2 linked regions of the Drosophila melanogaster genome follow. The protein of the gene in region 1 interacts with the protein of each later gene in a biochemical or structural test. Each region holds a gene or a part of one and is shown on either strand. Other genes may lie near its edges.

Region 1 (5,193 bases):
TTGAATTCTCCGTAGCGCCTTTACTTTGGTGGCATTATGGGCGAACGCACTCACAGAAAAAGAAATCGCACATAAAATTTTGTTATGACACGCCAACCACTCCAATTGTTTCACGTTAAAGCCGCATAAAAGTAATACATAAGTAAGGAAGTCGGAGAAGTAACAAAACAAAAAAAAAAAAGAGATAATTTCTTTGAGGCGGGATACTCACATGAGCAACAAATGCAGTTCATTGTCGGATCCTTCGTTTCCTTGGCTTTTTCTGTTGGCGTTTCCCAGTTTTTCCCACGGCGACTGCTGTGTCGTTTACATATCGTTTTTTGGCCCTCATCTCCTTTTTCTGGGCCACGTCGCGCTGTCTAAACGATTTACGACACTTTGGCCAACTGCCTCACGCACACATTTGCAATATTGTTTGTTTGTAAGTTTGTGTGGGTTGTGCGCGGGCGAGTGTCTGTGATATTAGCATGTAACGAACACACACACACACACACACAGATGCAGGAACAGGAGTTAACTTGGCCAAAAGGCAACACAAAATGCCGCACACGTTCGTTTTTATTATGTTAAATGTCTCCTGGGGCAGGAACATCAGCATCTGCGAGTTGTTTCCATCTGTTCGGTGGCTTTCTGCCTTTTAGCTTTCCTCCCTTCCTTTTGTCTTCTGACTTTTGGTAACTGTCACTTGGCTTGTTACATTTCACATTCACTTAGACTGCAGGATTAAATCTGGAGCGCGCCAAAAATCTAGCTAGCCAGGAAAATTAGCACAGGCCGTTTCTCGCCTTTTCCTGCTCGGCACTGCGCTGGTTCGCCCTTCTGCGAAATATCCTGCCAGCTCGTCCTTTCAGCCGATTTCAGCTTACTGCCCGCCGCTCCAGTTGAAACTGACGACTGGCGAACGACGGTCAAAGTCAATGGCGGGCTTTTCGTGGACGCGATTCGCTTTTCACCTTCGTCGACGGGCTCGGCGCCTAAAAGCCGAACCTTTCCGATTCACCCACGTCGAAAGCTCGTTTAGCCATCTCACCAGGCTCTCTTCGAGCAAGTCCTTGCTGAGAAGGATTGAGTTGCCTTAATCGCAGATTTGCTTCTCTTTGGTTTCATGTTCTAAGCCTCGCAGGTCTCGAATCTCGAAATTGAGTGAGTCTGTTTTGTTGCCTTTGAGCATTTAAAATGCGTTTACATTTCTCATATAAGCCTGTACTCTTTGCGTCTGCAATTCGAGTCCTTTTTAGTTGAGCTATAAATGTTATTACCCAGCAAGCACTTCACTCTAAGAGAAACATTGCTGGTTTTGCTATAAAAGCACTCAGTGATTATCTCAATGTTAAATAAATTAGCTCGAATCGAGCGAGCAGTGTAAACTGGATTTACCATTCCCATACATTTATAAGAATTAAATAATAATTTTTATAATGCTAAAGAAAATCCCAATTTTATATTAAATATAAAATATTTTTTGAAACTCATGCTAAAAATGATGTTTCGTAATTCCTCTCAGTTTATTTTACATTTTTTTCAAATTTATTTTATGTTATTTTATCAAATATTCCTTGCACTCAACTGTTCCATAACATTTTAAACTGAGTGATTTTTGAATGCTATTTAGAATCACTCCGATTTGTGTGCTCTTAACATTTCCCAGAATGGTTTGTCTATTCGATTGAGTTCTGAGTACAAAGTGAGTTCCTTTTGAGTAGCCATCCTTTGGTGTTTCTCTTCCATCGCTCGCAGCTTCGGCTGGCGAATTTCTCGGCTTTTCCGCTCTCCGGAAAAATCCACCACACTCGGCGCTCGGTCGGCGCATCCTCGGGCACGCTGAAGGACTCTTCGGGTCGAGTGGCGACTCACAAACGCACACACTGAACGCGAGGAAAACACGAGCATTGCTGCTAGCAGCCTTAGCCAATCGTAAAAGTTTTGTACGTATTTAGTACAATTTCGGGATTTGGCAGGATGTAACGAGCGTGTAAGAAACAGAGCGCGTCCTTCTCAGCCGTGTGTGTGCGATAATCGGGCAACAAGCAGCGCGACAGCAAATTGTATATTACACAAAATTCGCAAAAAATCCAACGAATCGTTTGAATCCAATTTCGAGTGATATAACATAACCACAGATCGTACTCGGTTATAATGCAATAGCAAAGAGCCGCAGCATTTCGAAAATCCGGCAAAGTGATTTTAGCCAAGTTAACCAAAAACCAAATCGTCGAACTCCTCGGCTTGCCTCGGTTCAACCCCCTTCAACCCTTTCTCCATTAACTCGTTGTTGCCGCTGTACTCGTACATATGTGTGCACTTGTTTTTGTGAACGTGTTTTGCCGCAAGCCGGTTAAAAAATTATTCCCATAATTACACCATCCGAGTTGCAGGCGAGGAACTTCCGCGAAACATAATTACCGAAGAACAACTGACGTAGCCGATAATACCTGGCGGATAAATCGGTAAAATCTAAAGAGAAAACAAACTCTGAAAATTATCAGAAGCCTGGTGTGTGGTGTGTGCGTGTGACCTGGAATTTCCTTATGAATATCGATATATATATGGACTTTATCCTTATCGTCCTGGCCCTGCTAATAAGAAACGGCAATCCTGTGCCGCTGCTCGAGATGGAGATTGAAACGATTGCCCCGGGGAGAAGGGGATTCCTTCGGTCTCCCCATCCTTTCTTCCGTAATAGTGTCGTTTCCTTTATTTGTCCTTTTATGTTTACCTACTTTTTCTTTTTGTGCTCCGTCGTTTCGTCGTGGTTTGGTTTGGTTTGGTTTAGTTTGCTCGCACACAATTGAAAATTCAATTGATTTACAAAATGAAGTTTACTGGTTGGGACGACAGATACTTTTTATCTATTTTCATTTGCAGTTTTACGAGCGAGCAGCTCTTTTTTCGGCCCGCTCCTTTTGGCCTCAAAGCGAAACGGTTGGCAATTTTTCACAGTTCTTTTTCGATTGAGGTCCTGGCGGGGTTTCCTGCAGTTTGGTGCGAAAATAACGCTGCGTCCTGCAAGGATTGTTGTGGCTGATGTTTTCGCTGCCTTCCGATTCGGGTGTGCCGAGAGTGTGTGTTTGTGATTGGAGCGGCCTAAAATCGTTTTAGGACCAGCTGCGAAGTGATTTTCAGCTAAGGCGAAAAAAGGACTGCAGTGTGTGTCCTGTGTGAGTGTGGGTCTGCAGATTGACATAGTTATGTCCTCGGCAAGTAATGGGAAGTTCTTGGCAAGAGCTCAAGAAAATTTAAGTTTGGCCTGGCCTTGCAAAGCTAAATAAGATTCTATATATATAGGTTGTTTTAAAGCCAAAATGTTTACTAATGCTTAAAGCTGTTCTCAAAATGAAGCATTTTTCAATTGACATTATCTGCTATTCAATATTTTCAAGCGAGTTCCTTATTCAGAGCCTTCTGCTCAATTCTCTAGTATAAAATATTATTTTTGAGTAAATTCTCAATAAAACTTATAAAAGTAAATATTCTGAAAAAAAGCCTTTCCAAGTGTTTTGACAAGTATTTAATATTTTCGTTGTAGAAACTCGTACAACACAACTCAACCTAAAATGTCTTTCACCACTTGCCTCAAGGAACTTTCCTCGTTTTTGGTGTCAAGTGTTTTTATTAGAAGCAGAAGCAGAAAGGAGAAAAATTGCCGACGAAGGGGCGAAGTAAAAATTTTTCCTTTCATTCCTTTTTCGATCCAAACTTGAAATGAGGTTTGAAACAAAAACGTTTTTTCTGCGCCAGTGTAAAATAATACGCATACGCCATGTATAACGAATACCCAAAGTAGGCTTCACAAGTGGTAAGGGCTACTTTCTTTGGCAGAAACAGAATCGAAAATCGTAGGATATGGTTGTTAAAAACTATAGGCTATTCTATGGCTTACATTAGCCTAATTGAAATTATATCGCTTGATACATCGTTCGCAGGGCTTGGGGTTAATTAGGTGCTGACCAAGTTGAAATTACTATGTAACTTGTTTATTATATTAACATGTGGTTGCTCCTATTGAATGAAAACAGTAGCTAGATATATATATATATATAGATGGATGGATTGATATTGATAAATGAGAGGGGGCTTAATTTGCTCTTTGCATTTCACAGCGACTCGAACTATCCCCACTCCCATTAGCCCTATGGGCCTCAGTTGGAGCCAAAGCAAAAGGACTAGTACTTCAATGGGCACCCCCCCCCCCCCCACCTTCCATTCTCACTGTTCAAACAGCGTTTTACCATTCGTTCGTCATGCCATCGTTGGCTATATAAAGGCGGCTGATCGGCCACGCCCACTCTTCTTTTTCGCCGCTTGTTGTTGACGTTTACAATTTGGTGTTGAAAACTTCAGCTGGAAATTGGGTAATACTCGTGATGATGGCGTTGGTTGGATGACTGCAGCAATCCTGCATTAAGTACCCTCCTGTGTCTGGATGTCGGTGTGTGTGTGTGTGTGAACGCGAAGGGGTTTGCAACAAAGAAATTTTAATTTATATAGAATGAGTTTGGGGGCGGCAATACCTCCATTTTCCACCACCTCTCTCTCTCCTTTTTTTCGGCTGCAGTCGTCGACATTCCGATGTTCGTGTTCTGTGCTCACAGTGCTCTCACTCACTCACTCGTTCGCACATGGAGACCGAAAAAAATCCAATTATTTTAAAACTTTTGACAACTGCAACAACAAGGCGTTGCAAGGCTATGAAAACAATAAGAAACTGACTGAACAGCCAGAGGCAACAAAAACAATATATGTGTATGTATGTATGTAGGGGAAAGTCGAAAGTCCGCAAAAAATCAAGCAGAAAAATGAGTGTGAGTGCTCGAAAGGGTTGCCAGCCATTATAACTTCACTTGAAAAGTTTAATTGATTTTTACAAGTGCATACATATACATACATACATACATATATATATATATATACGGAGATGGACGCAAAAACATGCATACGTACATATGCCACGGACCTACCTGCAGTCGTGATTCTCGTGATTTCGCTTTCTCCGTGTTGGCCAAGTGGGTCTATAACTTGGTGTAAACAAAGTGGTTGCAGGGGGATGGGGGGTTACTGAAGGGGGGTAGAAAAGAAATCAAAAGTAGCATTGCCCCATGAACTGAGGTGCAAATTCGTTAGGCTCTTCTCTTCCAATTGGCTTGGCTTTTATAGTTTGTTCAATTCTTGCCTGACTTTTTGGTATTTTCCTTT
Region 2 (5,023 bases), on another chromosome or scaffold:
ACCTTCTTTATGGGGCTGGGAAGCCACTTGTTCGTTCGGTTGTGCGACGGAGTATAAAAGTTCGTAATTTAATTTCAGTTTATTAGTCGGAATTGTTTTTGACTCTGCTGCAGCGCACGAGCCTGTTTTCCGATGGCGTCGCGACGCAACAATTTAATTAGATTTTTGTAGACCGTTTCTTTAATTAATTGCATTCAGCTGCAATTAAAGGCAGGTCTGGATATCGAAAGATAACTCGAGTGTCAGACTTTTACTATCGATTTGCCAGTATAAATCACGTTATGTTATAATTTTTATAAAATGGAATATTTATTAAAATTTATCTTAAGTCTCACTATTATATTATTTTAAAGACATTTACAATTTATATAGAAAACTAAAAGAACGTTCTTAGCATGCTGTATAAAATTTTACGTGTTTGAAGCCCTGGCTTAATTCCATTGATTTACCTAATTTTTTGGCCAAAAGCTGACGCCATTTTGAAAATTCACTTGAATCGCCAGAGGGGAGCTGCATTAAATTTTCAAAACCACAAAAAGAATCCTTTGGTTCTTAAAATGTCTGAACAACGCTGACCATGATGATGATGCCAGGGGGAGTAAAAGAACAGAACTCTGGCCGATGGAAGGTACATGGGTCTGGGAACAAAAGGTGCACTCACCTGTCAACGCCCCAAGCACAAACACCATTTACACCACTCCACACCCCACAGCTAGCCACCCACAAAAGTCATGTGGAATGGGTGGCTTAAACTCCAACGTAGTGCAATGAAATTCTTCATCTACAATTCAATGACATTCCATTCTGGGCTTTGGACGGGGCGTGGCAAGTTGCAGGACGCTGCCAATAAGCGTGCCCCCAGTGGAGCAACAGATGATACATTTATGCAGCGCCCCCTCGTGGGCCTGCATCAGGGGGCGTGGCTGCGCATGCGCCTACCGTGCGCGTGGGTGAATCGGGGGTGGGATGGTCGAGCTATGTCATCCGCCCGGCGAATCCCAGAGCAGGCCGCTCAGGATTCCGCCGCAAGGTGCGAGCGAGAGCCGTACATCCACATCCCGTTCAATAATGCGGGTGTCCAGTGGATGAGAGAGGGTGGTTGGGTGGCTGGGTGGTGGTTACTGCCTTTCATTGGCTTCGCATTCAAACCCAATTTCAGCTAGCAGCATTGCGACAGGTGACCGTCCGCCGTTCAGTTCTCTTTGAAGCCTGCCGCGGGTCAGTTGCGTGTCACGGAAAACCCTTAAGTTAACTGCATAGACCTTGGGCTAACCAAACAGTTTTCAGTGATTCCCGATTAAAGTTGAATATCTAACGAAATTTTTGAAATTGTGCAAAATACACATTGAATATTTGAAACAAGAGCAAGCCAACAAAAAATGATGTGAAGTGCTACACTTAAAAACACAATAAATACGACGATAGTTAAAAAATAAATTATCAAAGTGCATTAAGTAATCAAACATATCAAGTGTTAGATGAAGCAAAAGGTACATTTTTAGAATAGTTGATGTTTTATTAAAAATTTAATTTTATAATTAAATACCCATTTTATATATATATTTATATATATATATTGGATTTACTATTTATTTGAGAAACTTTATTTAAGTTAACTTCAAAGCCCAAAGCCCAATACTATAACACTTGACACTTTATTGTGCAAGAATAGGAGTGATTACTGACTTCAAATGAAATACCAGAAAGTTGACGTTACAACGCAATAGAAAAGGGGAGAAAAATGATGAACATGAATCCGCCGACGCACCCGCACCCGCACCATCACCCACATCCTCATCCACACCCACAACCGCAGTCCCATCTCCAGTCGGTGCAGCATCTTGGCCAGCATCAGCCACTGCCCGCCCTGCTCCAGGGCCACCCAGACACCACTCACTTCGTCGAGTGTCGGGCATTACCAGCAATCAACGAGACATTTCCGCAATTTGGCCAGCATCGTCCGGCTATTTCGCTGCTCTCCCCCTTGGATCTTTCATTGCGCGCCGCGGCCAGTGTAGTGCCAATTACTCCACCCTCAACGCCCTCGCCGCCTCGCAAGCGCCAGAGATTAATGTCCGAGGAGAATTACCTGTGGCGTCCGCACATGGCGAGTCCTGCAGCTCCAGCTCCAGTTGTTCCGTCGAGCCTGGCAATGCAGCCGGGCTACTTTCATCATCATCAGCAGCAGCAACATCAACTACCACACCAGCAACATCATCAGCCATATGCCACACGCAGCAGCTTGGAGGGCGCTTCCTTTAATAAAAGTCATTTTCACGGGACGAAAAATAACTTTGAGCAAATTCCGGCGGGTCAATCGAGCGTCAGCTCGCCCATCTACGTGGAAGATGAGACCATTGTGCTGACCGAGGACGAGGATGAAACAGTTGTCAGTTCCCATGACTACAATGAGTACGCCACGGACACGGAGGAAGTCAACGAGGGCGACGATGAGACGCAGCAGGTACAAGTCAGCGTTAATGGCGACGATGATGAGGAAGAGGTGTTTGTCGATGTCCTGGGCAGTGACGATGACGAGGATGAGGCGACGGACCTGGTGGCCACAAGATTGCAGGCCCAACTAATAGAGACCACGGCCCTGAAACGCAATGAACTTCTGTATGAGGATGAGGAGCTGCACAACCAGGCGGTAAATGGTTTGGCCAGACTCTTTGACCGGGATTTTCCAGAGCCAGATGTGGAGGTTTCCGGTTTGGCGGAACTCCAGAGCAACAGCGGGAAGACATACACGGATCTGAGTGGCGTGGCAACGGCGGAGATTAGGACTACCAGTTCCGACAACCTTCCACCGCCTCCTCCACCTCCTCCGCCTCCAGCGACTTCTACAATCCCTGCTACACCTCCACTTCCGCCTCCACCCATATCTCGACCCCACAAGGCGGAACGTAGGAGGTCGAAGCTACGAAAACACATGGCCATCGATGAGGAGACCATAAGTCCAGTTTCTGGCACCATCATTCGCAAATTGCGCGACGACGAGGAGCTGGTGGTGCGCAAAGGCGACATTGATCCGGCTTTTAACGTGGTCGAAATCACCGAGGAGGCCAAGGCCATCCTGGCCAGCATTGACAACAAGATTGGAGACTACATGTGCCAGCTCTGTCGCACTGTCTACGATGATGCCTTTATGTTGGCCCAGCACCGTTGTCCCCGCATCGTTCACATCGAGTACAAGTGCTCCGAGTGCGAAAAGGTTTGTGGTCCGAAGGAAGGATTCGCTTTCCAGGCAACTAAAACACTTTTTCCTTTGCAGGTCTTTAATTGCCCGGCCAACTTGGCCTCCCATCGCAGATGGCACAAGCCCAAAGCGGAGGCGGCTGGAGTTAATCCCGCCAAGAAACGAGTTGTGGAAACGGGCGATCTGGTACAGGAGGCGACTAGGAGCGGCGATGATGCCAGCGATGGCATTTATCCTTGCCATATATGCGGAAAGACTTTTCGACGGTGAGTTAGTAAGACTTTCGGAAAAAAACTATACAATTTAATTAGTTATTTGGTATTTAAAAAAGTTGAAATTTTAAATATTTTTAAGCAGTTAATTTGAAATGTTTATATTTATTTTCCACAAACAACAGTCAAGCTTACCTAAAGAAACACCAGGCCTCCCATCAGATGTTGGATAATCTCAAGAATCTGGATTTCTTCAAGTCCCAGCAGCAGCAGTTGACCATCAATGGCCACCAATTGGCCGATCATGTCCAGCTGCAGCATACAACTGGACAGGCGGTCACATCTGCCGCTCCCTATGCATCCTTGCCACGCCCACCGCCTGGCATGCCCATGTACCCGCCGCCAAGTGGTAAGAACTATCCGGGTGGACAACGCTTTCCGGGATTTCCCTTTCAGTCATTCGATCAGCGTCGATTCTACTCTCTTGGGGAATTTTACCTATCGCAGCACTTGGAACGATCCTCGGCCTTCCAATACGTGCAGGCCAATCACCTGAGGCAACTGTCCAATGTGGCCCAAACTTTGATGCCTCCTCTGCCCGTCAAATGACCCAATCCGAATACGAATGTCCTGCGGCCGGTGCCACGCATTGCGGCAACAGCGACGGCAACGGGACCTCCAGCGGCAGCAACAGCAACAAGGCAAGCGGCAACTGCCGCAGGAGTGTCCTCCGTTGGCCACGCCTTTAATTGGGTGGCTCCGTCGACCGCAGGTGCAACTGCAACGGGAAGTGCAACTGCAACTGCCACGGCGACGACTGCAGAGTCCGGCGGAAATGTTATCATGTGACTTAACAACTATTAGCAGCATTGAATCAACGATCTCTAGTTAAAGTTTAATAAATCAATCAAATTATAAGGACGTCTTTTATTCGGGCTGACAGCTAAAGAAATTTTATTTAAACACATTTCATTTTACCTAAACATTTTTATTACATATACATGTGAATAGTATTCTAAGGTCGAACTCTACTTCTGCTAAGGACATGGGATATTGCATGTGCCAGAAAGGTTTCTTTTCGAACACCTTGAAAAATTGAGGACTTGGGGCCTTGAAATAGTTATTAATAAATAAAATTAATAAATATAACTAGGATACCGTAGAATAGGTTACTCACCCTGTGCAAAAAGTAAGCTTTCAGATGGCATTTGGTGCAGTCGTTTTTGGATCTCAGATTCCGCCTCATTAAATATCTCCGGAAGAAGGCTGATTGTCTCGGTTTCTTCGCTGACATCCAGGCTTGGTTTTGGATAAATGGCATTGGTCATTAAAACAAGAGTTAAAGTATCCTGATCTTTGTGAAGATTAACCAAAGTATCATTCAAAAGCTGCAACTGCTCTCTTTTGTCAATACCCGATGGTATAAATTGCTCCACTATGAGTAGATATCCTTGTTTATATTTAGTAAGAACATTCAAAGACTTATCGACCATCAATTTTAGACTTGGGGCCTTTGAATTACCACTCAAATCTCCATTGGCCATCACACCCATTAAATAATCAAAACTACTAGAATTTAGGGACTCCAGCTCATCCCTTCGCTGAATCAAAT

The links.
Region 2: the proteins of Lar (region 1) and nerfin-2 form a complex in vitro, tested with the Drosophila melanogaster proteins (one study listed by BioGRID).

Annotation. Positions count from the first base shown.
Region 1 is NT_033779.5:19,604,635-19,609,827, forward strand, and holds the start of Lar (Leukocyte-antigen-related-like), read left to right. Parts: upstream 1-1,934; 5' UTR 1,935-2,447; intron 2,448-5,193. UniProt on the Drosophila melanogaster protein: Possible cell adhesion receptor. It possesses an intrinsic protein tyrosine phosphatase activity (PTPase). It controls motor axon guidance. In the developing eye, has a role in normal axonal targeting of the R7 photoreceptor, where it negatively regulates bdl.
Region 2 is NT_033777.3:10,069,434-10,074,456, forward strand, and holds nerfin-2 (nervous fingers 2), read left to right. Parts: upstream 1-1,683; 5' UTR 1,684-1,741; coding exon 1,742-3,214; intron 3,215-3,274; coding exon 3,275-3,465; intron 3,466-3,596; coding exon 3,597-4,020; coding exon of another isoform or gene 4,021-4,260; 3' UTR 4,261-4,328; downstream 4,329-5,023. Other genes in the region: Alp13 (alkaline phosphatase 13), read right to left, coding at 4,427-4,521, 4,589-5,023.